Linked DNA regions of Diceros bicornis minor. The protein of the gene in region 1 binds, or shares a complex with, the protein of each later gene. Links are inferred from orthologs where the notes say so. Each region holds a gene or a part of one and is shown on either strand. Other genes may lie near its edges.

Region 1 (7,908 bases):
GAATCAAAATGGTGTCATGCCTTAAACTAAAATTTACTTTGAAAATAATTTCATACTGAATTTCATGTAAATATGAGTGATTCCTCAATTTGAATAAAGTAGTTAAAAATATTGGTAAAACTTTCAACTATGCAAGGATACATCCTGTGACCTTCTTTGGATAGGTACGGTTTAAAAGAATGAAGGAACCAGAAGATTCAGTGCACTCATCAAAGGAACACACCGGGAGTTTCTCAAACCCCTTGCCAACACCTTCTCTGGTTCAAGTCAACCATCATTTCTCTCCTGGACTCAAGAAATCGTGCAATCACAGGCTCATGAGCACACATAAATCTACAATTAGTATATAGCATCTACTACATAAATAGTGGAGGTATTGCAGAAGCTATGTTACAAAAGCAACACACCCCAGAACAGGAAGCTGTAGCAATTCTTACATGATGTCTAGGGATAATGTTTCTAACAGAAAGCCTTATAAATTTTAAGTGTTACTAATGAGTGTAGGTGCTAAATTAATGTCATATTTTTCTACCACTTCCAATAGAGCATATTTGGAGGTGGGGATGGGGCTGTATTAAACCTTACTGAAATCTAACAACAGAAAACAAAAGTTCTCCGAACTACCACCACTAGCAGTAAAACTGTTTTACTTTAATTTTTTCTCATAAAATTATCTCCAAGTTCATTTTTTAAAGCACAGTATGTTATTTAAACACACAGTTTGTAGTTAAGCATCCATATATGTGTATTTCCCCAAAAATCCTCCTCCTAGACATTCAAACCTTGGGCCCCCAGACAGACAAACCCCCTGGGCTCTAACGCACAGCTGCTAGGAACCCAGAGCTGTCACATTTTGGGCAATAGGGTTGGCTTGGGAGACCTCAAATGCCCCATTCACAGCAAAACAGAAACAAAGACTGTAAACAGGGCAAAAGAAATAGAAAAACTGTTCTTAAGTCTCTCTAACACACATGCTTTTCCCCTTAATCGTGTACTTAAATACTCTATATACATTTCTCCTGCCCCTTCTATTTTCTTCTCAATCTTGAGAATTCAGAAAACCGATTCAACTACACAGTTTTAGCCATTAGAAGTAGCCCAAAATGAGAATAAAAACGAAAAATAAAAAGATCTTCATTTTCCAATGGCAGTTTTCCCTTCCCCTGGCTTCATTCCCTAAAGCCTACCTCTTTTATCCAGCATTCTGCCTTCTCTTCTTTATAAACATGTGCACATTTATCTAATCTGGTTTCAAAATGAAGACATAGAGCACTGCATGTGAATTAACCATTTGTAACTCTCCATGATCATTATATTTCATTCCTTCTTGTAAATGATCCAGTACATAAGCAGTTCAGTCCCAAAGGCCACTGGTTGCTTGAACCAGGAGATGGAATGCTCAAGATAAGAAAGAAAATGCATGCTTCTCAAATCCTGACAATATAACGTCCTTTTCTTACAGAAATGTCTGAGAAACGTATTTATTACACACCAAATATCCAGAACACAAGTGGAGACATTTTTCAGGCCTGTTATTGCAAAGCTGTTTGCTCTTCCTACCACAATAGCTCAGAGCTGTCACACTGGCTTGTATGTGAACCCTGATCGTTCATTCTGAACATACTCTCAGAGATAATAATCAATAGAATTCCTATCTGAGAAATGGCATTTTCTTGCTAACTTAGTGTTAAGGCAGAATGTGGGATTGTTTTTTTTAAGAGATTAAAGGGAAATTTTTGCTGTATACTTTCCGTTTTCCTTCTAGCCCAGATTCCAAAAATATTAAAATGCTGTCCGTTTTAAACAAAAGGTTTCTATTTGTTTCCACGGGAGTAATTGAGAGGCTGTACTGGTTTTCAGTAGTAACTATTGTGAATTCAGGCCTACATCTGGGTTGCCTCATTAAACAAAAGATACTCGTCGCTGTCAACACACAGCACAACGCTCCCCTATCCCTCATCTTTATCTAGAAGAAATGGTGCAGACGAGAAACACGCCTGTCACCATCCACTGGTCAAGAAACTCTTCTAGGTCTCTCCTTTCGGTGGTCTGGTGGCTGGAGAACAGCACTTATGTGACACATTAGGGCTCGCCTCCCCGCCCCCAGAGTACACAAGCCTCCTTTCTTTGGAGGGCCAACCACTCGGCTCCCTCATCATCACTGCCTGGAGAATCCAGTTGCGAGTCTGCCCACCATTCCACCATTCCCTCCTGAACCCAGAAAGCACTAATAATGGATGCACACAGGCCACCCCACCGCACGCCATCCCCCAACGTACCCTGGCTCCGCTCGCCACCCTCGGGCCACACACACACAACTCCCCACTCCACCACCCCACCGAGCGCTGCGGCCACCACACTGGAAGTTCAACCCCTCTGCCACCTTCCCACCTCCGCGCCTCTCCCCCGAAATGATGTGCCATTTAGCAGAAGCACAGCAGATAAACGCGCACCCCTGATACACAGCCTTTAGGGACACGAAAAGGCACACGCCGAGGCTCGGGGCAGGGCCACCCCGACCCCTTTGCGCGCGCGCCTGTGTATGTGTATGTGTGTACGCGCGCGCGCGCGCGGGTGCGGGTAGTGGCCGGGGGCGCGCCCGGGAAGGGTAGGGGCGAGCCGCCGGCGCCCGGGGGCGAGGGCCGCGGAGGGCACTTGCCCCGGGGCACCGAGGGTGGCAGGCGGAGGGTGCAAAGGCCCGGCGGGTGGGCCCGCGGCGCCCGGCCCCGGGCTGTACTCACCGAGCAGCAGCAGCTTGAGCTCCCGGCGGGCGTCCCGCTTGTCCCTGCGGAGCTGCCGCTCGATCTCGTCGTTGATCCGCCGGGCTTCCTTGGCCTCCTCGCTCAGGCAGCACGCCATGATGGACTCCAGAGTCATTCTTCCAAAGTGCCTCCGCTGCAGCCCCGCCGGCACCCCCTGCTCACACGCGCGCACACACACCCTCCCGCCCTCGCTCCCCCGAGGCAGCGGTGGCCGCCGAGCCCCCGCCGCCCGGGCGCGCGTCCCGGACGAGCCTGGGGAACGGCCGCGGGGGCCGCGGCCAGGGCCGGGGCCACCAGGTGGGCCGGCGGTGCGGCGCGAGCAGGCGGCTCGGGCCGCCGGGAGGAGCGAGGCGGGCGCGGGAGGCGGCCGCGGGCGCTGGCTCGGGGGGCGCGCGAGGTAAGGCCGCTGCGCCCGGCCTCGCTCAGACGCCCGCGCCTCCTTCCCCGGGAACGGGCGGCCCGCCTCGCCCCCCGCGCCGCCGCCGCCGAGGCTCCCCTAAGCCTTGCGCCCGGCGGCGAGAGCACATCCACTGGGGCGACCTCGCAGCGAGCGGCCGCCGACGGCTCCCCGCGCCCGGCGAGCCCGCTCCTCGCCGCCGCCTGGCACGGCTCCGGCCGCTCTCGGCCCTGCCCGCGCCCACCGCCCGGCTCGCGCGCAAACCCCGCTCGCCGGCCCGCTCGCCCGGCCGCCGCGCGCTCCCCGCCTCCGCCTCCGCCTCCGCCAGACGCCCACCCCCGGCCCCGATTGCAGGCGCGGAGCGGCTGCTCAGTGCTCGCCCTCCCCTTCGCCACACACACACATTTTCTTCTTTCTCTGAACTGGAGCACAGATCCGGGAGGGAGGCGGCGGCGGCGGCGGCGGCGGCGGGAGGGGGAGGAGAAGGAGGAGGAGGAGGAGGAGGAGGAGGGGAGCGGGGAGGCGGTGCCGCCCGGCCCCTCCTGGAAAGCTTTCCTGGGCTCGCAGCCGCGGCGCGCGCCTCCCCGTGCGCCTCTCGCCTCTCCCGCGCTGCTCCCCGGCTGGGCCGGGCCCCCAGGGCTCGGGGCGCCTCCCGCTCCCGCACCCTCGGCGAGGTCCGCGGGCGCAGCGGTCACGGCCGCCCCCGGCGGGGATGGGGCGGGGTCGGGCCGCCGCGCCACAGCCCGGACCGGCGGCCGCTGCCGCGAGCCGGGGCCGCCGCCAACCTGCCGCTGCCGGCGGCCGCCCGGGCGTGGTGGAGCAGGAATATGGCGGCCTCCGCTTGCCTTTCAGCCCACCAGCCCCGGAACGCGGCCCCGGCCCTCCGGGAAGTCGCGGGATTCGGCCCCGCGCACCCCCTGCCCCCCTGGCGCCGCGCACCCCCGTCCTACTCCCCGCGGGCGGCCGCGGCACTCGGGACCCCCCTCCCGGCAGCGCCGGTCAAGCCCCCGGGGCCGCTCTCAGCCACTTCAGTGTTGTCTGCCGTCTCTATTCCTAAAACGCCATGCGGTTAGCAAGTATCTCGCGTCACCTCTGACCCCAGTTCAGTCGCAGAAAATAAGATACCCTCTTGAAGTGCGACTGGGGAAAAGGAATTGTCACTGGTTGCTGGAGGGGTGGGGGGAGCTTAACAGGCAAAACTGGCCACAAAGTTCCTGGAGATAGAAATCTAAATCCTGAGCAGAAAAATGAAGCTGCCCAGGTTTCCAAGAGCCTCCTGATAGCTTCCAACTTTTCATGCCATGGAAGGTGTTTTTGTTTTGTTTTGTTTTTTACAAGCGTTCCTCTATTTTTGAAAAGGCACACGATGTTTAACAGCCAAGTAATCGAATTTACCCTTCTAGACCGAGACTGAATTATGGATGACTTCTGGGAAAATGCAAAATAATGTGAAATAAAATAAAAGGAAAGAACAAAAGAGAGAAATGGGAAAGCCAAGATCGCCCGGGCAAAGTTTCATCTAGTATTTTGTTTTTACACTTGCGTTGCAGACTACTTAAAACTGTTGTTTCCTTATTTTGTTGTGATATACGACTGATAAATGGCCAAAAATATCTCCTTGCTCATTCAGGTTTTTTTTTTTTTTTTTTGGATCTAATAGCTACAAGACGTGAAACTCATACTGCTTTCTGCCTTAATGGAACCTGAGGTCTTGAGAGTAAATTATATGTTAAGAATGGAATCTCTTTTACACATTTTGTGTTTTCTCTGAGATGTCTCTGGTGCAACCTGCTGATCCAGGGTGTAAAGTAAGGTCATGATTGTACTATTGCCACAGGTCAAGAGTGCACATAAGCTTCCTGAACCACAGCTGTGTGACTACCTTCTTTCATTTGCCATTACCTTTTACCCTTCATACACACACACACACTCACTCTAAGCCAGAGCTTAGATCAATCAAGTCATCGAGACATAAGATCTGTATTTTAGGCTCCCTTTTTAAAAGGATATTTGGCCTACAAATGATTACATTTCACCTTGGCCAAAAGAGCAGAAAGGACAACCCTCACCCCCCTTCATGTGAATGCCTACAAAAAGCCACTAGACTTGCTGTGAAGTTTAAAATTAAATGACCAATGAAATTGAAGATTGAAATTCAATATGCAGAAATTTTAAATGGCTTCAGGGGAAAAACTTAATTATAAGTTTGCATCCTCTAATAGATGGATATATGTGAGCTTCAGAGAGAGACAAAACACCAGAAGATAACATGACAGTCAGGAAGCTTCAAGTGTCTGGTTTCCTAGCCAAGGATCCCCTGAGATTTTTGAAAATGTCTCTCAAACTGTGCCATGAAGCTATCAGGTAATCCATTTTGACTCAATTGACCTATTTTTTGATGAAAGGAATTAAACTGTTTCAATAGATTGTAGATACAGTCAAAGTCTGTTCTGTCACCCCTGTATCCCTAGCATCAGGGGCATTCCTTGGCACTTAGATATTTGAATGGATAAGACAAATCAATAGAAGGATGTTCCTTCAAGTATTGGGAAGAAATCAGGACGTAAGGAAAACCAACACTTGACAGTGATAAAGCCATATACGGATGTCAAGAAGGAAACAGGAAAAGAAAATTCCAAGTCTGAGCCCAGATCTATCCAGAAACCTTTGCATATATATCTGGAAAGGATTTGCCAAGGAAATATTCATACAACCTAAGTCAAGCAAACAAAATCTACGAAGAAACTACTGCAGTTGTGGACCATGTTTTAGAAGCAAATACTCTAAAATATGCAACTAAACATGGATCATGTTACCAGTCCCAGTTCATGAAATCAACAAACATTCATTGCCTACTATGTGTAAATAACTAAGGTAAAAGTGCAGGAAGAGGGAGGATACTAAGATGAATACAATATGGTCCTTGCCCTCAATAGGCTTATAGTCTTACATCATTATGAGGCTTTGCACAGCTATAGTAAAAGACAAAATGAAATCAATTTATATTAAAGTTGGCATAGAAGTAACAATATAAAGGTATAAAAAGGAAGGAATAATTCATTCTGTTCAGGAGAACTGGAGAAGACTTCACAGGAAAGGGAACTTTTGGATGCGTCTTAAAGAATGAATAGGTATTCAATAAATGTGTATCCACACCACTAAACAGTAAATCAGCAATTCCAAATCACCCCCAGTAAGATGATAAACCATTTTGAGGATTCAAGGGCAATTACTAGATAGCTGAAAAGCCAACCACAAAACCCTAGGAGCACTGAACACCAGAGGAAAATGGGAAGACTGTCACCTCTTCTATGGTATCCTGAGACAGATACCTATCCCCATGATCATATGGCCCTGTTCCTTGGGTGCTGGAAAAGAAAAGCACCAAAAGGCATAGCTGAGTCTCTAAGAGTGATCCTAGAGTAAAAGAGTGGAAAGGCCATACTCTTCTACAAGGAGCTCCTGGGGAAGGAAAAGCTTGCACTTCTGTTCCCAGAGTCACTTAGCGTGGCTGTTCACAGCGTGCACTGTACGGCTGTAATTGTCGATTTCTCTCTCGCTCCCTTCCTCTCTCTCTCTCATGAGATTCAGAGCTGCTTGAGAGCATAGACCTTGTTTTTCATAACTGTTTTCCGGGCACCCAAAAGAGTGCCTAGCCCAACAGTTTCTCAGTGAGTGATGAATAAACAAAAGAATACCAGAACCTGCATCCACAGCACACACACTCACAGACTGCTGTCCCAGGCAGTGCACTCTGCCAGACGCCTGAGGCAGACAAGGCCCTTACAGGCTTAATCATCTATTTGGGCAGACAGTCCACATGCACAGAAGAATAAACAACAATGTGAAATGGGAAGCACTCGCTGCTAACATACAGTATGAGAATGGATTGCTGGAGGAGTTCAGAAGAAGGAGCAGTTATCCATTCAAAGCAGCCCGAAGGAGTAGGGGTCACCTGAAAGAACAATTAGAAGTCAGCCTGCAGCACTGCACATCCTGCGAGAGCTTGCTGGCACAGCTGTCTGGCCAAGGAGTAGAGGCCTTGCTGGTGGGGAAGTCAGGCGAGCAGGCCCAGGGAGACTGAGAGAGCTGCAAATGGCACCACCTAGAGGACAGCTTTCATAGCAGAAAGATGATGATTCTTAGTTGAAAAAGGGTTTCAGGGTCAACATGTTGAAGATGAAAGACCAGGCATGAAACAGAATACCTTCTTCCAAAAGAGAAAACACTCACCCTGCAAAGCCACCAAACAGATATTCTAGATAAAGCAGAGGACCTCAATGACATCTTTCCATTACCACCTCAGAAATGCGTCCAAATGATGCTCTGACCAATCCGATGTACCTATTCTGGGCTCATCCCAGGTTACCGTTATCACAGGAGCCACTGTACCTCACAGTGTAAAGGCTATCAAAGTCCCATCAGACTGGAAGTCCCTAAAAAGTTGTCCAGATGGGAGCTATTTTTAAGCTAAGTAGACCAATGTCTCAGCCAGAGAAGGCATTTACTAATGTTTAATGAATGAATGAATATGTACCAAAATCAGATAGCAACATATCGGGTCACCCCAAATCATGATCCAGATCCTTCTGGCACCCAAAGAATCAAGGATGACTTCGCTAGTAGAGGAGTTTCCTTCCTGCCCTGGAGTTGCTCCAAGTGGGAGCCACCAGACCTCCGACTCTCTGCTTTGCTAGACTCCCACCTAAGACCCAGGGTGCAAACTGGTGGTCTTTGGGCTGAAGAAGT
Region 2 (7,990 bases), on another chromosome or scaffold:
GTGTGACAAAAGAAAGCAAAGATTTCAGTACAATAAACCAGAGACAAATCAGTGTACTCACCATATGAAGATAAATGATCTCTGTGGGAAATCAATTTTGGTTTCATAACTACCTTTTTTCTAGGCAACCTAGAATTTTTATTTCTGCAGCCTAGGAATTGAGAAAGTGTAGCTTTTGAGCTTGCCATGCCTCTAATTTACTGAGTGGTTTTATGGTCAGAAGATCTATGCCTCGGTTTGGTCTAGTTGGAAATGTGGGCAAAGTCATTGTGCTCTAGAGTGACACAATTTCCAGAAATGTTAAAGCCAAAGAGCAAGAGCCAAAGTGGTTTTTACTTGGATGGCAATTGAAATGTTGCAGTGTTGATTCCTAACCTTGTCTTGCTATCCTCTGTTAATCTGTTCTTGACTTGGATGAGCCATCCAACTTTTTAGACAAATGCATGTTCAGCAGATATTTTTTCAGCATCCGTTCAGTAGCAGGCTCCTTGTTCGATGCCAGGATACAACTGTGATCACGATGAGAAGCCTCTGCCCTCAGAAACCTTCCATCTTGTGGGGTGACCCCTTCCCTCTTCTGTCCTAAAATTGCCCAAAGCCTCGGTTTTTACTGTTCATGCTTCACTCATTTATTCAGCAAACATTTGTGGAGCATCTACTAAGTTTCAGGCCCTGTGCTTGGTGTGAGGCTACAATGAGGGGGAAAAGAGACAGGCCCTACCCTCATGAAGCTCCCAGTCCCCGCCTTGATTTAATTCTCTCTCCTGCCGTCACCAGAAAGAAGTCCTTGCTCTCTGCTCCCTCAACACTTAGTTTATGCCTCTTCCTAGCATTTGCATCACTGTAATTATAATACATCTTTCTGTCTCCTTTTAAACCATGAGCACCTTGAAGGCAACAATCTCAACTTTCTTTCTGAGCACCTTGCACTCCCTAGTGTCTAGCACATAGAGGAACTCAATAAATGTTTTTTGAATGAGTAAATAATTGCATGAATTTACAAATGCACAGACCTGTGGAACCATAGACCAGTCTGCCCTGATCTCCCATCCTACATCTCTTGGGTGGGGAACTCAATGATCAATCATCTGTCAGTACTCAAACACTCCTCATGATTTCAAGGACCTTCTAAACATAATACCAGCTGGTCCATGGGTCATTTCCTCTTCCAGAATGGATCTGCCATTGAGAGAAAGAGCAAATACTAGCTTCAGCTTGTGTTTGCAGTACTTTTTTTGCAGGAAAACAAACATGATTATATATGGTTTAAATGAAATAAACTCATAGTAAGGAGAACAAATGAGCTAATTTGTAACTCTTGGATAAATACTGTTAATATAGCTACAGTAAGAAAAAATACAAATACAGTGGCTTAAAAAAGCTAGAAGCTCTTTTTCTCTGTCATGCAAAAGCCCAGGAATAGTCTGAAATCAAGGTTCTGCTCCATGAAATCCTCAGCTCGTGGCACAATCATTCCCCAGGATATGGCTCTTGGTTCAAGATGGGCTCCAGTTGTCACATCCACCTCCACGCAGCAGAATGGGGAAAGAGGGGGAGGAAGGGACAAAGGGCAAACACCAAGTTTCCTGGAAGCTGCCACAGAGCCCTTCAGTTTACATTCCATTGGCCAAAACTTAGTCATATGACCACATATAATTTCAAAGGAAGTTGGAGAAAGTAGTCTTTATTTTGGACACTTGTCCAACTAAAATCTATTTTACGGTGGCATAAAAGGAGTACAGATACAAGGGATACGATTAGAAGTCTCTCTCGCAGATACTAAAACTGAAGTGTTCTTAGTGATTATTCAAGAACTTTTGTACTCTAACTATTGCAAGCTGAAGTCACAATGATGAACTCCAATTGTTCATCCACCATGCTGCGATCATACTTGAACCACTCTAGTTGTCGATACCTAGGAGATAGGAGGAGGAGGTAGAAAGAAAAGAAAGCATTTGCAACAGGGAAATTGAGGAAATGATGGGAGGGGACCAAGGCAGTGGCAACAGGAATGGAGAGGAGGAGGAGTGAAGAGAGAAGGTAGAATCAACAGGACAGAGTGATTGGATATTGGAGGAAAGGGAGGGGGAGGATCTAGAGTGAATCTCAGCTTTGAAAGCAAATTAGATTCTGGTAATTGGACTAAAAAGGGTGGTTTGGAGATTATGTGAGACTGATGGAGTTAACTGCTGCAAATTGACCTGAAATCTCTCCTTCGTCTATTACTTCTGGCCATGAATTTCCTGTCGAATGGGCTAATGAAGTTAATAAACTTCTCCTAGTGGTTAATCTTTCACAAGAAAGATTTCGCAGGTTTTAGTGACTCACCCTAGCCAGCTGTAATGTTCCCTCTCCTAAATCAGTACACTACACGGGACTCCATAAAATTCCGAGTTCTTGAGGCATTCTTATTTCAAGTGCCAGAATTTCTCACTTGAGTAAGCTGAAAATATGGAGAATCTATTCCCTAATCTAGAAAGTGGAGTTGGTATTGCCCTCTTTACAGTTGTGAAGTTTAAAATAGACTGGATGTTTAAAGCAATGCCTGGTTCAATAAATGCTAGTTTCTATCTCTTTCCAAAGTACCTTCTCTTTTTATTCATTCATTCGACAAACATTTATTTGGCAGTTACTACTTTAGACACCGTGCTAAATGTTGAGGCGTAAAGTTGAATGTAGTCATAGAAAACAAAGTTACAATATTTTTTTTTCACTGCTCAATGTTGACGTAAATTCTGATGCTCTACACCAGTGTGCCTGTCCACTGCACTGGAAGTTCCTGAGGACAGGGTACATGCGTGTGTTTGTTACCTTTATATTCCCAGGCCTTAGCACATGTACTTATTAAATGAATGAATATATGACCAAGGTCCAACCCAAAAATCTAAAAGCGGGGCTAGAATCAGAGAACTAGGATGGTCATGGATGTTCAGACATTATTGGAGACAATTCCATGAATGTTGAGTGTCTATTGGGATGCTCCTTCCAAATGGGGCCCAGTGCTAGAATGGCTATTGGAGGAGGGGTTGGGGTTCCTGAGGGGTAAGGTGTGGTTCCTAAAGGGCAAGTGGCTGCAGATGACAATGGTTAAGAGCTTGGGCTCTGGAATCAGACTTTACACATGTAATTATAATAAAGTATGATGAATCTTCCAAGAGGGGACCTCCAAGATCCAAGATGTAAAAGACTATAACAGGCGAACCTACCTAGTCTGAGAATCCAGGGAAGGCTTCCTTGAAGAATCCTATAAATTGCTCACTGCACAACTAAGGGGTTAGCAAGGGTGGAAATATGGCCTGTGCTCCACTCCCCAAGCTGGACACCTTGGCCCAAGGCTGTGTCTGCCCCACAGGAGTTCTTTTGTCCATTCACACAAAGGCTCCACAGTTCACCAAGCCATGCCCCCGCAGTTAAGGACATCTGAAAGCTGAACGATAAGTAGATGTTTTCCAGGCAAAGTTTAGGCTAGAGGGACCAAGGAGGGGAAACAGCATGTGTGAGATCTAAAGAAGTTCTGGTGTACTTGAAGCACTGAAGGGAGTTCGGTGTGGCTGGGCTGTGGAGTTCAAAGGGAAGACTGGCAAGAGTGAGGCTGGACACGTATTCATTACAGTTAGCATTCTCTGTGAGTTTACTAGTTACACTGTGCTAATGGCTTTGCATGCATTATTTTATTGAGATCACAGAGGTTAAGTGGCTTTCCCAAAGTCATATGTTAGGAAATAGTGAAACTATGCTTCAAAGCCAGGTTTAACTCTAGAGCCTGTGCTCCAAACCACTTGTTCCATGGCATCCAAAGATTTGCAAAGGTGGACTGCAAAGGGATAAAACTGAAAGCAGGAAGGCAGTTAGGAAATAGTTGGAGAAATCCAGGTAAGAAATGCTGGTGGACTTAAGAAGGCCTTGTAAATGGGAAGGAGTGGATGGATTCCAGAGAGATTTAGGAGGTAGAATCTACAGAACTTGGTGGTGGTTTGAATATGAAGGGCAATGATGAGAAGAAGGAGGAGGCAAGGATGACACCTTATTTTGTGTCTTTGTGGATGGCTCGTCATCTGCTGAGATAGAAAACAGTGAAGGAGAAACAAGTTTGGGAGGAAGGTGAGTTTAGAGCCTGTCAAGTTGGAAGCACCTCTGGGACATCCAGGTAGAGATGTCCAGTTGACAGTTCAATGCTTGCGCCTCAACCTCAGCAGAGGGTCTGTAGTTAGATACACTGACATATAGTTGGTAATTGACCCACAGGGTGGGTGAGATAGAGTGAAAAGAGCAGAGAGTTCCTACTAGGATAATGGTGCTAAAGCAGAAGGACTTTTCCCCAGATCCAGCTGTTGAGCTTTGTAGAGTATAATCTGACCCTTGATTTATCTGCGTCCTTTACAAGAACTGTTCTTCAAAGGTTTATGGAGTGTCATATTACAAACTGGAACCAGAGATCTATGATGAGGAAGCACAGAAAAGGGGGGCTAATAAATAAAGAATAAGTGGCCTTTTCTGACATTTTGGTTTGATTTAAAGTCAGATTTAAACCTAAATATGACTCATTCTGTATTTTCTATAAGAACATATGTGCTGAATAAAATATCATTAATATTATCATGCTACTACCAGGCCAACTCTGTGCATTATTCATGCATAAAAATGAATGGATTAAAATCTAGTGGCAGCATCAGTGGAGGCCTTAGCTTATCAACGGCCTCTTTAAAATGTGGCCCCTTACAGCTGAACACAGTCCTTCTCCGATACAGGCAATTGAAATTTCTGTACCTTTCATGAAATGCTATAAAAAGAAGACTCCAAGCCATGCCTTCCCCACCTGCTATCCCTCAGCCTCTCTCAATGGAAATTCTGAGCCACCTCTGTTGCACTCATCATAACTACATGGGATTTAGGCTTAGCTGAATTCATTTTGTCTCTCTTTTCTTTTAGAAAGCACCACAGACAGTCTCTACATGATGTGGCTTCTAAAGACTCAAGGACCACCCACCTCACTAGTCTGCAGCGGAGAAGGCAGAAATGGAATTTCAAACACCATGGCTTCCATCTTATTACTAGTTGATCTGTAGACATGTGCCCCCACCACAGGGAGTGAACTGTACCAAGGGGGAAAGTCCTCGGGGCCCCCAAAACACCAGCACTCTTGTCTTCCCCCCTGGAGACAAAGCAGAACTATGGCGTTTTATAGCTGCTGTTTGATCCTCTTGGCCTTTACCTGGTGCTCTTCCGCCTATGGGCCCGACCAGCGAGCCCAGAAAAAAGGGGACATTATCCTCGGGGGGCTCTTTCCTATCCATTTTGGAGTAGCAGCCAAAGATCAAGATCTAGAATCAAGGCCAGAGTCTGTGGAATGTATCAGGTAAGGGAAGGAGCCAAGACTCTCTTCTGGGTGGTTGGAGAAAAGCTGTACTAAACACAAAAGAATTTTTTCAAATTTAGTTCTCTCTTTTCAAAAATCGTGATTGGTGGGGCCGGCCCGGTGGCGTGGTGGTTAAGTGCGTGCGCTCCGCTGCGTGGCCCAGGTTCGGAACCCCGGGCGCGCACCCACGCGCCACTTATCAGGCCATGCTGTGGCAGCGTCCCATATAAAGTGGAGGAAGATGGGCGTGGATGTTAGCTCAGGGCCGGTCTTCCTCGGCAAGAAGAGGAGGATTGGCAGATGTTAGCTCAGGGCTGATCTTCCTCACACACACACACACACACAAAAATAGTGATTGGTACTCATGCTGAATCTTTATTTAAAGAATTTAAATAAATTTTTTTCAAAGAATTTTTTTTAAGGAATTTTTGCCAAAAATAAAATGTCAAAGATACTGAGTAGAAAAATCCATGGCCTGTTGGAGCACATGCCTGGTCACTTGGTAACTGAGTCATCATTGTGGCATGACCCAGGCATCTTCGAAATGCAGCCCATAGAATTTTGGAACCACTCCCATTAGAAAGTCTTTCTTATAGAAAACTGAAATCCCCCTGCTAACACAGAATCCATCTAACACAGATGGAGAAACACAGAATCCATCTAACTCTCTCACTGGACCTCTCTCTTCAGCCATTTGAAGACAGCTAACATGTCCCCTTGAATCATTTCTTTTCCAGGTCAAAGAGTCTCAGTTTTCTAAACAATTATTTCATGACATGATGTCCAGACCCCTCACCATTCTGGATGCCCTCCATCTGATGCTCCCTAATTATCATGACTCTTAGGATATGGCGTCTAAAAATAGACACAATTCCTTCAAATAGGATCTGACTTCTGCAGAGTACAGTGAGCTGTATATCACCTCCCTTAATCTGGACATCAGAGACCATTACTGCACCCCATGTCCTGATCCATCTTCTAGGAGAGAGAAGCTCTTTCTCTCTGAGTCTTGCAACTTCCAGAAGGGATCCAGCACTTTTCCTTGGTCTTCCTGATACCTGGAAAATGAAAATGAAAACTAGGATTGTTCTAAGAAAACTGGATTTCTGTTCACATTCTAATAAGAGCTAGCAAATTAGATAACATTTTCACATTTTTCTTATGAATGCAGAAAAACTAAGTGCAGAGTTTCACTGAGACTGATTATATCCTTCACATAACCTGGGTGGACAAATATCCTCTTTGTTGTACCCTGCTGGACAGAGTTGTGCATGTGCCGTGTATATACCTCTTAATAACTTTGCAAGTTTAAAACAAGTAATTAAACAAACAAATGAAGGAAACGTAAAGAAAATGACTAAGAGAAAATGTCACGTTAACAATTAAACCAGGACTTTTAGGAACCTAAACAACAGATTGTATTTCTGTATTTCTATAACATTGTATTTCTCACCTCCTGTCATTGAGGTCAAGTAGTGAAACCATGATATAAAGAGAGAACCTGCAGAGCTGTTACGTTTTCTCCTTGGGGCACTGATATACTGAATCAGCATGTTTATTGAGCCCTCAGTCTGAGCCAAGTCTTGGGAGAGTGAAAACTATGTCACTGACCTTAATTCTCTTTGTTAATTTGCTTGATTTTTATTTAAAATAATGTTCTTTGAATTTGTGACAACATGGATGGACATTGAGGGTATAATGCAAAGTGAAATAAGTCAGAGGGAGAAGGTCAAATACCGTATGATTTCCTTCATTAAGTAGTAGATAATAACAACAATAAACAAACACATAGGGACAGAGATTGGATTGGTGGTTACCAGAGGGGAAGGGGGGAGGGAGGAGGGTGAAAGGGATAATTCGGTACATGTGTGTGGTGATGGGTTGTAATTAGTATTTTGGTGGTGAACATGATGTAGTCCATGCAGAAATAGAAGTACAATGATGTACACCTGAAATTTTTACAATGTTATAAACCAATAAAAAAAAAAAAAGCAACGCATGCTCATTTTTTAAAAATAGAAAGTATAAATAAAACAAAAGCACATAATTTTAAAACTCATCATTCTACCACCCAGAAATAACCACTGTTTGTGAACAGCCTTCCAATGCATAATATTTGTTTGTTTGTTTACAAAAATGAGATCACTGATTTCCTTTTCCCCTTTGACCTCCAGGAATGTCATAGTCTAAATTTGTGACTCTGCAAATCTGAAGTTATTTTTAGGCTCCCACATATTAAAATCCTAATCTATTTATATTTTCCCTGGTCCTTTTTCTTTTTAAATCTTTATGTTACTTTTATTAAAGAACCTCACATCAGCTACTTCAAATTCTTTTCTGCATGAAGCAGACACAAATTATCTTTCTGTTACTAATAACAACCTTCATTATTATTACTCCCTAACTCTGTTGAGATACCATGCTGAGAGCTGTACATAATCTCATGTTCATAGCCACCCTATGAGGTAGGTGTTATCCCCATTTTACGGAGAGGACTTTGAGTCTCAAAAAACATGACGTCATGAAACCAAAGAGTAACAGAGCCACAGTTCAAACCCAGCTTTGACCAGTTCTTACTCTAAACAGTTGACCAGAAAGCCTTCCATTTCCTTCCATCTCTTCTTTCTTCCAGGT
Region 3 (7,353 bases), on another chromosome or scaffold:
TGTAGCCCCAGCCCCCACCCCTGCCCTTAGCACTTCCTGTCCAGGGAGCCATGGGAGAGGTCAGCCCACAGCTCGGCCCCACGCCTATGGGCCGGGGTTCGGGGGCGGTCAGGGGTCTGGGGTGGGGGCCCTTGACCTGAGCTAGCTGCACCAGTGCCCGCCCTCACCATGTTGGGTCCTGTCCAGTACAGGAAGAAGCCATTTGCGTCCACGCGCAGGGTCACCAGGTTCCGACTGGAGGCCTCCTGGGGACAGGAAGGGACAGCAGGGGTCAGGGAGTAGGGGCTGCAGCCCAGGCTTGGTCCCTGGACCCCTGGGGCCAACCACACCCTCCTCCCCCCACAGCGTTTCTGCCAGTAAGTGAAGACAAGCCTCACCCAGCCCACAGGTCCGGTGTGGCTCCCTAGTCCTCAGGACAAAGCTGAGGTCCTAGGTGTGACATTTGGGTCACTCCCATCCTCACCTCTGTCTCGCCCTAAGGCTGTGACACGGACCACTGACTACCCTCTCCCCCCTCCAGCTTCTGCATCATTGTTCCTTTGCTGGGATATCCTCTCCTTCCTTCTCTACCCGTGAAATCTGACCCATCTCGTTGTGGAAGCCTCCTCGGACCCCAGCCCAGGGCTCAGTTTCCCCAGAAGGTCTGAGAGCTCCCTGACGGTTGAAGCCCCCCTGAACCCCCTAGGGAATATTTATGGGATAAAAGCAGAGGGTTCGGAAGTCTGACTCCCACAGCCCTTCTGTGTCCCCCGGGGTCCCACGACAACCAGCCACCCCTTACATCTGCCTCTAAGTCCATTACCCCCCTCCCTGCACCCCACTAGATCCTCACAGACTTGCGGCTCCCCCATCTTACAGAGCACGGACTGAGTCCCCCCAGAACGGGACTCGCCCTGCTCTCAGGACTGGACGGTGAATTCTGTGGCAGGCAGGAGGGCAGGGAAGGGTGTGCTGGCCCCATTTTCTGAGGAGGGCCTGGTCCCTGGCACACACCCAGGGCCAGCAGCCACGGGGGGTCATCAGGGGCTAAGACCTGGCCACGGCCCAAGTGGCCAGGCGGCCACAGGTAGAAGCCTCCTGCTCCAGGCTCCTCGGGCCAGGAGAGGACCCCATGTCACCTTGGTGCACCCCCAGACTGCTCACTGGTGGACATTCATATCATCAACACAACAGCCCGTCCTCACGCTGCCCCTACTGTGCACCGAGTACAGTTCCCGCATCCGGAAGCTCACTCAGTCCTCTAACAACCCGAGGAAGTTCGCGCCCACTCAACAGACAAGGAGACTGAGGCACACCGAGGCTACGTAGCTTGAGTAACGTCAAGAAGAGGCGCCAGCATTCGCATCTCTTCTGAGTCCCGTGGCAGGGAAGCAGGGAACCAGGCTCCCAGTCCCCAGCCTCAGCCACAACCTGGGATTAGTCTCCACTTTCCAGACTCAGTTTCCTCTTCAGGTGAATGGGGGTTGCATCAGCCCCACCCATTTCAGGCTTTGCTTACAAAGGACGGGAGGTTGATCTGGGGACAGAGGAGAGAGGCGGCCCCGGAACTTTGGGGATGCTTGGGTCTCCCCACCTCGCTGTGCTGACACCCACCCTCAGCCCCTCTCTGAGATTCCCTGCCCTGGGGCTCAGGCCTCCCCAATAGTGTGAGGAGGGGGGAGTTCTGTGGGTCCTGTCCCCAGGGCCTCCCCCAACCCCTCCCCAGAGGTCTGGCCTTCAAAGCAGCTCAGGCCCCCACCTCTCTAGCCCCAAGTCCTTGTCAGCAACCCCCACCCCACCCCCAGGGCCCTCTCCCTGTTCCCACTTCCTTATTTGGGTTTATCACACTGGAAGGAAAAGGAGAAACTTTTTCCTTCAGGCCTGCCTGCGGGGAGGGGTCTCCCCGGGCTCCTGGGGCTCCCAGGCACCCCTCTAAGGCACACCTGCTGCCCCAGGCCACGCCCCCAGCACCTCCCCCCAGCTCCCACGCCTACCAGCCCCACCCAGCCGGAAAGGAGCCCAGAGTCTTCCAGGCCTCTGGCCTGACTGGGAAGGAGCAGCGAGGAAGCTCAGGCAGGCCGGGTGGAGGCCCTGGGGAAGGAGGGGCCCAGAGAGCAGAGGAGGGGGCGTGTGAAAAAGAGGGTGGGGCGCGGGCCAGGTCGGGGAGCCGCAGGTGGGGGCCGGAGCACCTGGGAAGCACCCAGGACAGGGCAGCTAGAAAGAGGGGTCAGGATTTATTGGGGTTCAAAGTCTCGATGCTAAGGAGTGGAGAGCAAAGTTCCCCAGGGATGGAGGAACTTGGGGGGCAAAGTCTCCAGTGGGGGTGACTTGGTGCTCCCACCTGAGCAGGGAGCTGGGCTGGGATCCAGACGCCGGGGTGCCAGCCAGAATAGGGTGAAGTGATGAATGGAGAACAATGTCCAGGCTAGGGCACTAGGAAAAGTAGGGTCCCGGCGGCACCCAACCAGATTGAAGGTGCACTGAGCCAGATTGGGGGCCATCGAACCAGAGAGTCCAGTGCCGGACAACGGTCTGGGGAACCAGGATTAGACCGGCAGGGAGGGGTGGGAAGGGCGAGTGAAAAAGGGGGCCGGGATTTATTGGGGTTCGAAGTCTCGGGGTCAAAGAGTGGAAAGGCAAATTTTCCGCAGCTGAAGGACTGGGGCGGGGGGGTCGGGGACAAAGTCTTCGTTACGGGGACGACTGGGGACTCAAGTTTCCGGAGCGCAGCCAGGCTGGGATGGCGGGGCGCCCTGGCCAGGCCGAGCCGGGCTGGGGGTCCCCGGCGTCTGGCCGAGCTTGAATGAGGGAGTCCCCAGGTCCCGGCGGAGCAGGGGGCCCCCCCGCGCTTACCTCGTCCCATTTGATGAACTTACTCCCGCGCCGCAGGGTCTCCACCACGGTGGGCGGCTCCAGCTGCAGCGCGTGGACGCCGGGCCTGGCGCCCGCCATGGCCGGGCCGGGGGCGGGCCGGGGACCCACGGAGCCCCGACGGGGACCGACGGCGCCGCTGCTCCCTCCGCGCGCTCCCGCGCGGCCCGCTCCGGCCCCGCGGCGTCAGCGCCCGCCCGCCCGCCAGTCTGTCCCGGACAGACCAGAATCGGCGGGGCCCGGGCGGGGCGGGCCGGGGGCGGGGCCGCGGCGGTACCGCCCCCTCCCACCGCGTCGGGCCCGCCCGCCCCGCGTCGGCTCCCCCTGGCGGCCGGGGCGGCCACTGCAGCCAGAGCGGGATGGGGCGGGGGCGTGCCTGGACCCGGCGCTGTGCTGGGGGCTCAGACGGACCCGCCCGGGGTGGTTGGGGGGGGGCGCTTGAGGCCAAGGGGGCTGTTGGGGGTGCAGCTGGAGGGACTGGGTGTAGAGGGCGCTGATGAAGACCGGCCTACTAAGGTTTCTGAGGGGCGAGGGCGGGGGGACTCCTGGAGGGGCAGACTTGGGCCGGGGGGCATAGAGCCCTGCCCGCCCCCACTCTTGCAGCACTTAGATGAGTGCAGGAAAAGCCACTGCCCCCCCCCAGCTCCCCCACCCACCACCCACCCCGCCCTCACTTCGCCTCACCCCTGCTGCAGCAGCGCGGTCCCCCCTCCCTGGGAGCACTTAGCCAGCTAATGGGCCTCGCGCCTGCAGGCGCCCCTCCCCCGTCCCTAGCCCGGGGAGGCCGGGCGCCTAAGCCTGCTTTGAGGACCCAAGCATCCTGCCTTTCCAGAGCGAGCCCTGGAACAGCCCCCTTCTTGTTCCGCAGACACCCGTGACCCAACCTGGAGCCTGTCCCTGTGAGGTTCACCGCTGAAAACTGCAAAGGGGTCTGAATCCTTGTGGGCATCCCTAACAAGGGGGGTTAAGGAGGGGCTCTGCAAGGCCTGGCCCACAGCAGGTGCCCTGAAATCTGCTGTCTTCCAGGGATGGGAGGGGGGAGGCGCATGGGCACTGGGATGGGTGGGGACTGCGGCCCCTCCCGCAGGGCTTGGCTGGGGGGGCTCCTGCCTGGGGGCCCCTGTGGGAGCCCCCCCAATACAGAGGCAGTAGCAGCAGCAGGTTTAAAGTAGAACTCATCCAGAGGGGCCAGCCAAGTCACCTAGAAACCCAGAAAGAGATGGAGCTGGTTCTGGGGGAGGAGGGGTCAGCTGAGGAGGCGCGGGCACTGCAGGCCCCTTTGCCCCGGGCTCTCAGACCCCCAAGGGGAGCCCTGCGTAGCACTGGCCGTCCTCCAGATCCCCACCATGTTGGACACCAACTCTAACATAACAAAGCTACTTGCGTTTTGCTAAGGCCCTGCGGGGTGTGATTATTATCTTCACTTGGGGCCCAGAGAGGGGAAGGGACTTTCCCAAGGCCACACAGCTTTGTAGGAGGATTTCAGCCCTCTGACTTGAAGGCTGGCTCACATCCTGTCTCCACTCCTTGCCCTTGAGGAGACAAAAAAAAGGAGGACAGGACTTGTGATCCTGTCTCACCAGAGCAGCAGAGCCATCCCCCTGAGAGACCCAGGGACCACCAGGTCTCACTGGGCAGAGCCATACAGGGTGGAGACTGGCCTCTGCTCCCGCAGGCCTGGGTTCAAGTCTACCAGCAGACCTAGTCTCTCTGGCCTCAGTCACCTTGTCTAGAAGCTGGAGGTTCTCGGAGGATGAAATAAGCAAATGGATATGAGATGTCCCCTGGCTGCAGGCAGCTGGACATCTAAGGGATGGCTAGCAGGCTGTGGGGGCATCAGGGAGGAAGGAGGAAAGGGCACGGGTCGGCTCTGGGGCTGGGGCCTGGCAGCCAATGCCAGGGCTAGCAGGGCCTGGAGCCAGGGTGTTGGGGTCCAAGCTGTAGGCCTTGGGCCTCGGATGGGGGTACTTCCTAGAAGCGCTGAGCAGCAGCTCCTTGTAAAACAGGATGGGAGCCTGTTTCCTGGGCCTGAGCCTCCCCCCTGCTCCCCTCCACCCCCATGTCTCCTGAGGCCAGGGCAGCCCCCATTAGAGGGGCTCCTTCCTCCTTAGCCACTTTCTCCCATCCTTGGTAATGTTAATAGGGTTTCTCGGCAAGCAGTAATGGTGGAAGGAAGGCAGCTTTTCCGGCCTCTACCCTCAATTAAGGGAGCGGTCGCAGCCCACAGGACCCTCCCCAGGGCCTCTGCTTCAAGGAGGCGCTGAAAGCAGCCTCAGCTGCACTCCAGTGGAGAGGGGCCGGGACCCCAGAAGGGGTGGGGCTGGGGAGGCCACAGCCTGAGGCTGGATGGATGAGGAGCAGCCGCTGCCGCCGCAGGCTTCAGTCCCAGGAGGGTTCCGGCAGGAGAGCAAGGGCTGGGATGCAGGCCCCGGAGCACCGAGCTCTCAGACCCCAACCACCAGAGGTCCGTAGGATCAGCCCCTTGAAGAGGCTCAGGGCAGGTAAGTGATTGCCCACCACGGCTTCTTAGCCTGCTGGGCAGAGCCAGGATTTGAACCCTGTTCTTCCACTCCAAGCTTCTATGCAGGGCAGCCAGCCTCCAAGAAGGCTGCAGGCCATCATGGCCATCTGCACTAACTGTTCTGGGGTGGGGGTGGGGAGTGGCCGTGGGAAGGGACTGGATGGACAAGGGAGCGGGCCCCCGGGATTTGGAGTGCCCTCGGAGTGGCGTAGAAGGTGGAGAGGGGGCAAGTCAGGAAGAGCATCCCCAGCTCCTCCCTGCCCTGCCCAGAGAACCCCCAGGGGGTACCCTGAAATCTGGACATGACAGAAGGACTTCATACTGGGCTGAGGGGAGAAGGGACAGGAAGGTCATCGCTCAGGGTCACAGCATCTGGGGGGCAGAGCTGGGGCTGTCACCCAGGTCTTCATGGCCTGTAGGCTCCTCCCACAGCAAGCTATGGTATATCCCCCCTCTTAACTATGAGTGCCCCCAAGGCCCGAATCGATGCTTGGGTTCAGAAAGCGCAGACTGCCTTGTGAGGTGAGGTGGAGTGTGGTGGGGAATTTGGACTTGGGTAAATTGCTCCTTCCATCAGGCCAGGCTCAGAGCCAGAGCCCAGGCTGGGAATGGGGCTCCCAGGGGAAAGGGTGGCTCCTGCCTAATCTGTAAGAGCAAGGGTCAGCCCTTTCCTGGCCCCTTAGGCTGGCTGAAGGGAGGCTAAGGCCAGAAGGAGGGCTGGGGAGGGAAGAGGCGTCAGCCTGCTCTACCCACACTGGACAGAGCCTGCCCACCACTCAGCCCCTCAACGAGAAGCCCACCTCACCCCCCAACACACACATACGATTCCCAGCCTCTGCCTTCTTGTTGTCTCTTCTCCCCAACTACAGGGTAAGCCTCAAGTCCTAGGTTTGAGTTTGGTTCCAGCACCAGCTGTGTGACCCTGGGCCAGTCTCAACCCCTCTCTGAATCTGCCCGCTGCAGAGGGCTTCTCTGGCCTCCAAAGAGCGGGTGTCTGTGAGGGGCTGAGACAGAAACACTGCCTCTCAGACCCTGAGACTCTGCTTGGGACCTCAGGGGGTGATCTTGCCATCTGCAGAAGCATCCCAGAGGAGCTGCACAACCTTGTCGGGTGGTATCTAAGGGGAGGAGGGGGGTTGAGTAGAGACTTTGTGTCGTGGGGTTTGAGCACACAGCCTGGGTTCATGTGACTTAATTAACAGTGCAGTCATAGAACCTTCCATGCATTTTCCTGTTTAATCTTCCCCACAACCTTCTGAGGAAATGGAAGCACAGAGAAAGCCATTCATTCTTCCATTCAGTCATTCGTTCCACCACCTACTATGAGTCTGACATAGGTGCTGTGAATTCAGTAAGAATCAGGTAATTTGCCCAATACACGTGGGTTTGAACCCGAGCAGGCCGACTCAGCCCTGGGCATCAGCAGTGAACAAGGGCTGGACAGGTCCCGGCCCCGTGGAGCTCACAGTCTGGAAGACGGAGACAGATAATGAACAAGTGAATGGGAGAGACGATTGAAAGAGACAGAAAATCAGACGGGGTGGGTGCAGGAACAACATAGACCCGGTCCGCTTAAGAGCGGTGGGCCAGGTATGGCGCCTGTGAGATCTGCAGGACAGAGGGTGGCGCAGGGCGAGGACCTGCAGGAGAGCTGAGCGCGGTGCTGTCACCAGCTGGAACCAACTCGAGAAACGCTTATTATGGGTCAGCTGTTATTATTATCTTTATTATCATGAGTACTGGCTCCCCCACTTCCTAGCTCTTTACGCCTGAGTTTCCTCGTTTGTACACGCAGAGGTTGCAGGGTGCAGAGGGCCGCGTCCTGTCGAGGCCAGCCCTGGGAGGGTGCCCCAAAGAAGTTCTGCGATCCCGGGACAGGGCTCCGCTGCGGGGGAGGGGCGGCCATGCGGGGTCGGACCCAGCGAACTACATTTCCCATAATTCCGTCCCCCATCGCCATCTTGGCCGGTGGGCGGTGGCTG
Region 4 (7,111 bases), on another chromosome or scaffold:
TGGCATAGTGGTTAAGTTTGCATGCTCCACTTCGGCGGCCCAGGGTTTGCCAGTTCAGATCCTGGGCACAGACCTACTCACCGCTCATCAAGCCATGTTGAAGTGGTGTCCCACACAGAAGAGCTGGAAAGACCTACAACTAGGATACACAACTATGCACTGGGGCTTTGGTGGGGAGGGATTTTCTTTAAATAAATAAATAAATTTTAAAAATTATGATACATCCTCCTATAACATACTTTAGAGTCATTAAAGATGTTTTATATTTACTGACATGCTACTGATGTTTATATAATTCCAAACTTGTACAAAAAGATTTTCTATATTTTTCAGTACATATTTTATGCATGGATATATGAAAGCATGGGAAAGGATATAGACCAAAATGTTAGCAGTGGTTACTTTGGGAACTGAGGTGACTTAATTAAATTTCCCCCCACTTTTTGGCTCATTTTTCCTCTTCAGTCAACACACATTACTTGTATAATTAAAAATCAATTATAAAGAGAAGTTTCAGTCTCCAAAAGAAAAATGGAATTACTGCATTATAGGGGACCTCCCAGGCTGATGACACGGTAGAAAACAGTAAGTGCCTGAAACAAGCCGACTGAAGTGCCAAACAGCCATCCACCTGCCAGGTCACTGGGCAAGTCCCCTCACTTCATTCTTTATCTGGTATTTACCAAGGTCCTTTAGATAATGAGATTGTGCTGGACCATGGTGATGGAGAAGATGCTAGAGTCCCCGGCCTCCCAGAATATATGATCCAGTGGCGAGACAGATTAAACATATTTACACAAATAATTATCAATTACTGTTGTGATGGGAAGGAAAGCAGGGGCCTGACGGGGTGTTTTCCTTGCCCCCCATCAATTCAATGGCCCTGTCTGTAAAACGAGAAGGTGGTACTCCAGGCTGAGGTCCCTGCCATGAGGTAGTCTTCTGGGGTGAGACCTTTGGGAAGAAAATCAAACCTAATATCTGCCCTGTGGCAAACTGAGGAGCAGGCCTGCGAGTCAGGCTGAAAGTGGATGAGGAAACGGGTGCCGAGGGGCAGAGAAACTCTGGTGATGCTGTATTTCTTAATCAAAACCAACCTAGTTTCAACTTGGGAGGAAGCTCCATCTACCGAATGTCTCACCATTAATTAGCTTACCCTTTAGCAAAGTTAACTGCAAAGGAATAGAAGTCTGAAGGAAAAACAAAAAAAAACAAAAAAAAAAAACAAAAAAAAAACCAAGCTACAATATTAAATAGCTCTGGTTAACAAGTAATTTGATTTTTTTGCTGTTAAATCAAGTTCACCTTATACTCCCCTGCCTCTCGCTTTGTAAACAAGAACAAGCCAAACACTCAGGGGCAGCTTCCCATAGGAACTGTCTGAATCATAAAAGCGTTCAATCACCTACATTCACATGTTTTTAAAAAATGTTTGCATATACTAAGTTTTGCTCCTGAATTTTAAGTTTCCAACTTTAAAAGACAAAGGCAAACGGAGAAGTGTTCATCACGGTTTCAATACTTCCCCGAAATAAATGCCTTTCCTGTTGCTGATCAATAAAATGTATACAGTGGGCAGTTTTCAAATATACAGCATAACATCCTATTCCGTAACTCCGGGGGGAAAAGAATCATACTCTTCAATCCAACTGAAATTCACAGTGATCTGGTCTTTTTAAAACGTCTTCATGAAGAGGATAAAAGTGAGAAACTGCCTTTTCCAGCAGGTCTGCAAATTTCGCAGGGAAATTAAAGCCTCCCTTATAAGGCCACCCTGGCTCCCCGAAACCGCGGGGCGTCCGTTAGCATCACAGAAGCTTGACCTCAGGCCAAACCTCCCCCACGCCCTCAGAGGCCTGCTCAGGCCGGGAGATTCCACCCCCAGCAGGACAAGTTGGAGCACACCCGGGGCAGCCGCCCGCGGATCCGGCCGCCGCGCACAAGCTGGCACCGGCGCACCGCCCGGACGGCTCCCGCGCTGTTCCGTGCCCGGGGCTGACAGCCTCCGGCCTGCAGCCCTGAGGGGCCGCCAGTGCACGCTGCGTGTGCCACGGAAGGACCCGGAGGCCCAGGCCGTAAGGTCACCTGGTCGAATACGAGGCAGGGTCCAAGAAGTTCCATTCGTAAACCCGCGTGACGCCCAACTGGCCTAAAACTCGAGGCTGAGCGCGCGTCACCCCGAGAAGCCAGCGGGGGCCGGCCCCGACTTCACACCCGGGCCGTCCACGGCGCCAGAGGAGCTGCGGGGCCCGGGCGGGTCTCGAACGCCGTGGGCCGACCCCAAAGAGGGGGCTCCGCAGGTTGAAAGGGTTGCAAAAAGCGAGATAGAAGGTTCCAGGCCGCGGGCTCCCCCCCACTCCACCCCGCCCTGAGCCATCACCTCGCTAACTGCAGGGGTCCCACGGGGCCAGCCTGGAGGAAGTCGCCGGGGTGCGCGAAAAGCTCCTAATGACTTAGTGTTTGCAAAGAAGCCACCCCCGGGGAGGAGGCTGAGCCCTCCGGGGACCCGCGAGCTCTCCGTTCCCTCCTCTTCCTCCCCGCCGACTTCAGCCTCCCCGGTTGTCCCAGCTGGTGCTCCCCGGGCGCAGGATCCCCCCATCAAAGCCGCCGAGCGGAGGCTGCGGGACGCGGCGAGGCGGCGGCGGCGGCGGCAGCAGGACACCCTGCGCGCACCTGCCCCGCTTCCACCACCTGCCCAAGGCGCCCGGGACCCCGCTCCCTAGCGGCACGAGCCCCCCTCGGCCAAGTCTCTCACCTGGGACGGCGCGATTGCAGGAGGCGGAGGCCGCCAGCAGGATGGCCCCCCCCAGCAGCCACGCCGCGCTCGGACGTCGCATCCTTGCAGCAGCCCCGACGCCCGGCGGGCGCGCAGTTCGCTGCCACCGATTCGAAACTCAGAGCCCGCTCGCCGCGCGGAGAGAAAGCCACCTTCCACCTGCCCCTAACGGGAGCCTCTGCGCTCGCCTCCCCAGGGCCGGAGAAGTTGCAGCGAAACCAGAGCCGCTCGCCGCACCTGCGCGAGGCCACGCCCCGGGGCCGCCGCGCCGCGAGGCCACGCCCCCCGCACAGCGGGCGCCCGGCCGCACCCGCCGCCACCCGGCTGGGCGCCCCGGCCTCCGCACCCCTGCTCCGCGCTCGGTGCCGAGCTGCGTCCGCCAGGCTGCCGGACCCGCCCGAGGGCGGGCTTGGGCGGGTGAAGTGGCTGTGTTGGAATGCAAATGGCAGGAGCGCTCGGATCGCGGGGTCATCCTGGCCTGGGCAACGCCTAGAACTACCTTTAACCTTTCGTTGATCCAGGGGAGCCAGTATCGTCCATCTCCCTCCCTCCCATTTCCTACATGGCCAAAAGTCAGACTCGAGCTCACTGCACTTGTTGTAGCTGATAGAGGCTTCCCAGTGTGGTGGGCACTGTCGGATGAGGGGGCAGTTTCTAATCTGTTGGGGCAGATGGACGGCTGCGGACACCAACGGTGGGGAGCAGGAAGGGGTCCCGGCGGGAGGGGTCAGGGATCTGGGGTTAGGTTTCCAACTGTGCTAACTAGCTGTGACCTCGAACAAACCTCTCCACCCCCTTCTAGGCCCATTTCCTCGTCTGTGAGGTGCAGGGCAGAAAACAGTTCGAACAGCTACTTTAAGTGCCATGTGCTAACGATTTAGGAGCACTGTCTAGTTTAATCCCGACGCACAATATGTGTGATTATTATTCCCATTTTACAGAGGAGGAAATGGAGCTTAGGTTGGATAAATTGCCGACAGTTACTCAGTTTATAGATACAGTTTGTAAACCTCCATCACATTTAAACTGTAGTCTATGACTGCCACTTTCTTCTATTAATCACTGCGCTGCAAATGCTTCCACCGGGGTCTTTTCCGCATGGGGACCCCTAGCCTAAAGAAATACACAAGCAGATAGAGGGGATGGGGAGAGGAGTGAGGGACTGGGGAGGGTGCACAAGGGCCTTCATCATATTGGTAATGTCTTACTTTTTACTCGCTTTGAAAAGGTAAAATAAAGTTTACTGTTATCCATTTAAACTGTTGGGCAGCGGAGGAGCAGAAAAGAGAAAGGCAAGTGTTGTCTTCAGATATTTGAAGGATTAGCATGTAGAAGAGGATTAGATGCTTTCTGAGTAGCTCCAGAGCAGAAACAGGTGGAAGCCACAGTGGGAGGCCGATTTTGGCTCAGTGTAGAAAGAGATTTCTAACTGGGGAAGCTGAGGTCCACACGGCTGCACGCTTGCCACCAAGGACCAGGGCATGGGTCCAGCATGTTGGAGAGGGATTTCCCTTCCAGGCTTAGGGGCCAGATTGGGTGAGTCCAGATAACCTCTTGAGGGGCTTGAGCCCTGAGAGTCCATGATTCTTCCCAGAAGACCTGAGTTTGGTGAGTCAGTTGCCAGTGACCATCATTAATTTTTGAACAACCATAAACTGAACAGCCACAATCTTGGGCCTGTGAGTTTCTAGGATGGAGCCTACATCTGATAAAGGCCCTGTGTCCTCTGTATGACCTCTTGCTGAACCCACCATGGGGCCAATTAACAGAACTAATGTGGGTTCCAGATAATTCAGGCAGACAAAATTGTATAAAATGTCATGTTAGCCAGTTGTTTCAACCATATCCCCAATCATTTCCCCAAAGTTACCTAAGGGGACGGTTAGCATTATGCCTCTTCCCTCTGCCCTGACAGAGGAGCTCACAGAGCAGGGAAATAAATGGTTGAAAAGGAAGAGAAGGAAATGGCCCTGAACACGCCATGAGAATGGAATAATTTCTCCCTGCCTAAGAGGAATGGCCTGCCTCCCAACACACACAGACAAGAATGGCCAGGGAAAACTGTCTGGTGAATGAGACAATTCTCTTCAATGGCTGCCTTTCAGTAGGCCCATCTCTTAGGAATCTCTCATTGCCGTGTCTCCAGTGAGTTCTTTTGGGAATGTGGAAAGAGCTTAGCCTTTGAAACCATGTAACCCTGTGGGCAAATTCTGGCTTCTCCTCTGGCTAACATCTGTGTGACCTTGGACAAATTACCTACCCTTTCTAAGGTTTAGGTTCCTTACCTATAAAATGGAGTTAATTATTGTTAGGTTAAAGTTGTCTGAGGATAAAGTAAATTGTGACTGTGCTTGATGCACGATAGAAGTTCAACAAACATTCTATTTGTTTCCTTCCTTTCTCTCAGGAGTCTTCACGACCTGCACTCCAGCTCTCAGGATGCTGCCTCCCAGGCCACACGCCTCAGCCTATGCCCAGGAAAAGCTGGCTTCTAGAAGCAGCTCTGGGGACTGCCTCATCCTATTGTATGACAGTTCTCCTGATGGGGATCAGGTCACTCCTGAGGGTCCCTCACTAGGGAAGATACTCAATCCCTATGATGTCCCTTCGATCTTCCTAAGCCTCCATTTCATCATCTGTGACCTATTATTATGACGTCTACAATCTGGGGATGATGATATGGTCATACCTTTCTTGGAGGGTGGTTGTGAAGATTCAGGTTGCTAAATGCCCGTGAAGACTTCTTAGCACAGTTCTTGGTATCTGGTAGGCACTCAAGCAATGGTGGCTCCTGTAGAATGACTGCCCCAATGACTCTTCCTCTTCTCAGAGAAGAATGCATCAAGTCCAGCTGTTTTCCACTTTAATTTTTCACTGGTATCCTATGGAAATATGTCCTGAATCATCAGAATTTCCAAGAAAATATTTTATTGAACAATGCTATGAGTTCATTATCTCAAGAATGTGATTGCTCCCAGCAGCCTGACTAAATGAACTACATTCATCTGAGTCACTTGGCAGAAGTTTTCCTGTGACAGTATTTGTTCTTTAGATATTGATGACTCCTTTGCCCTGAAGGCCTTGGGGTGTTGTCTGGCTCTGTGAACAGTACAGCAAAATGACCCCTGGGCAATTCCAGACAGCCTGGCTTCTGGGAATTGAAAACTTTGTCAGTTTCCCACCTTCTACAAGTCTAAGGAAAATACAGTTGGAACTGGGGAGGCCAGACACTGAGGGAAAAGTCATTTCATTCAATCAATTCTACAATCATTTATCAAACTCATCAAACTCTTCCTGGAGAAACAAAGACACAGTTCCTGCACTCTTGGGTCCTAGTCAAATACAGAGGGAGGAAAAGTTACATTCATTCAGTCACTCATTCATTGTGCTAACCTCTGGAAGAGGTTAGCAGTGACCTTCACGTGGTGAATCCTTTGGTCAATTCTCAGTCTTCATGTTATTCAACCTGACAGTGAAATTTGACACAACTGATCTCTCCCTCCTTGAATGCTGTGTTCACTTGGCCCCCAGGACCACTGCTGTCTTGCTTCTGCTCCTACCTCACTGGCAACTCAGAAGGTGTTGGTTCTTTTCCGGCTCTCACTCACCTTCCTGAACTCTACATCCTGGAGTGCCCCTGGGTTTCTCCTTGGACTTCTTTTGTTGGCAACATGCACTCATTTCCTTTGGTGACCTAATCCAGTCCTGTGGTTTTAAGTACTATCTATATGCTGACAACTCCCAAATTTGTATTTCTATCCCAGATCTCTCCATTCTAGACACATAACATATCCATCCAGCTACTGAACATCTCCACTTGCACGTGACTATAGGCATATCAAGCATAAGTCCAAAACTAAATTCCTGATCCACCCCACGCCTCTCATCATCTTCTCATCTCCTTAGATTGCAACTCCAACTTGCCAGTTGCTCTGATAAAAATCTTGGAGTCATTCTTGACTTCTTTCTCTTATATTCCACATCTGATCTATCAGCAAATCCTACTTTGACAACACGTCCAAAATACTGCCATGGTCCAAGTTATCATTATCTTTTGCCTAGATTATTACAATAGCTTTGTAACTTGTCTTCCTTCTTTTGCCCATGACCCTCTGCACAGTCATCTCTTAATATAGCGGTCAGAGTGAACCTGTTTAAATGTGCATCAGATCAGATCACTTCCAACTGAAAATACTGAAGTAGCTCCCCACTTCCCTCTGAGTACAAACCAAAGTCTGTCACAGGTTTATACACCCCGCCCTCCTCCCCTGTACACACACACAACCTCCTTGACTTCATCTCCTATATTGCCCTCACTCATTCTGTTCCAGCCGT

Evidence for each region.
Region 2: the proteins of GNAQ (region 1) and CASR are in contact, whole or in part, in a cryo-EM structure (PDB 8SZG), measured with the Homo sapiens proteins. The link is inferred for Diceros bicornis minor from reciprocal best matches to the Homo sapiens genes GNAQ and CASR. Residues at the interface, in NP_002063.2 of Homo sapiens: His63, Leu196, Gln197, Ser198, Ile323, Tyr325, Ile337, Arg338, Phe339, Phe341, Ala342, Lys345, Asp346, Ile348, Leu349, Gln350, Leu351, Asn352, Leu353, Glu355, Tyr356, Leu358, Val359; in NP_000379.3 of Homo sapiens: Lys644, Ala645, Asn647, Arg701, Val702, Leu704, Val705, Phe706, Ala708, Lys709, Ile710, Pro711, Thr712, Phe714, Phe801, Arg873, Thr876, Ala877, His879, Ala880, Phe881, Val883, Ala884, Arg886, Ala887, Thr888, Leu889.
Region 3: the proteins of GNAQ (region 1) and PLCB3 are in contact, whole or in part, in a cryo-EM structure (PDB 8UQO), measured with the Homo sapiens proteins. The link is inferred for Diceros bicornis minor from reciprocal best matches to the Homo sapiens genes GNAQ and PLCB3. Residues at the interface, in NP_002063.2 of Homo sapiens: Pro185, Thr186, Thr187, Ile189, Glu191, Pro193, Arg202, Gln209, Arg210, Ser211, Glu212, Arg213, Arg214, Lys215, Trp216, Ile217, His218, Val240, Glu241, Glu245, Glu249, Glu250, Ala253, Leu254, Arg256, Thr257, Ile258, Thr260, Tyr261; in NP_000923.1 of Homo sapiens: Pro257, Arg258, Leu259, Asn260, Glu261, Val262, Leu263, Arg707, Asp709, Lys710, Ile719, Asp721, Gly722, Ile723, Val724, Ala725, Ser845, Asp846, Tyr847, Ile848, Pro849, His852, Tyr855, Ala856, Ala858, Leu859, Ile860, Asn861, Pro862, Ile863.
Region 4: the proteins of GNAQ (region 1) and F2RL1 are in contact, whole or in part, in a cryo-EM structure (PDB 9D0A), measured with the Homo sapiens proteins. The link is inferred for Diceros bicornis minor from reciprocal best matches to the Homo sapiens genes GNAQ and F2RL1. Residues at the interface, in NP_002063.2 of Homo sapiens: Arg37, Ile323, Tyr325, Asp346, Ile348, Leu349, Gln350, Asn352, Leu353, Glu355, Tyr356, Asn357, Leu358, Val359; in NP_005233.4 of Homo sapiens: His108, Pro109, Ala110, Met114, Gln172, Arg173, Val176, Ile177, Pro180, Met181, Gly182, His183, Ser184, Arg185, Met265, Met268, Leu269, Met274, Asp275, Asn277, Lys280, Lys281, Arg284, Ala285, Leu288, Ile289, Tyr344, Tyr345, Val347, Ser348.

The regions. Positions count from the first base shown.
Region 1 is NC_080761.1:16,150,973-16,158,880, reverse strand, and holds the start of GNAQ (guanine nucleotide-binding protein G(q) subunit alpha), read right to left. Parts: upstream 3,003-7,908; 5' UTR 2,878-3,002; coding exon 2,742-2,877; intron 1-2,741.
Region 2 is NC_080754.1:23,112,356-23,120,345, forward strand, and holds the start of CASR (extracellular calcium-sensing receptor), read left to right. Parts: upstream 1-4,989; 5' UTR 4,990-5,171; coding exon 5,172-5,356; intron 5,357-7,988; coding exon 7,989-7,990. UniProt on the Homo sapiens protein: G-protein-coupled receptor that senses changes in the extracellular concentration of calcium ions and plays a key role in maintaining calcium homeostasis.
Region 3 is NC_080770.1:8,734,923-8,742,275, forward strand, and holds the start of PLCB3 (1-phosphatidylinositol 4,5-bisphosphate phosphodiesterase beta-3), read right to left. Parts: upstream 3,004-7,353; 5' UTR 2,932-3,003; coding exon 2,833-2,931; intron 246-2,832; coding exon 168-245; intron 1-167. UniProt on the Homo sapiens protein: Catalyzes the production of the second messenger molecules diacylglycerol (DAG) and inositol 1,4,5-trisphosphate (IP3).
Region 4 is NC_080740.1:5,975,869-5,982,979, reverse strand, and holds the start of F2RL1 (proteinase-activated receptor 2), read right to left. Parts: upstream 3,014-7,111; 5' UTR 2,838-3,013; coding exon 2,756-2,837; intron 1-2,755. UniProt on the Homo sapiens protein: Receptor for trypsin and trypsin-like enzymes coupled to G proteins.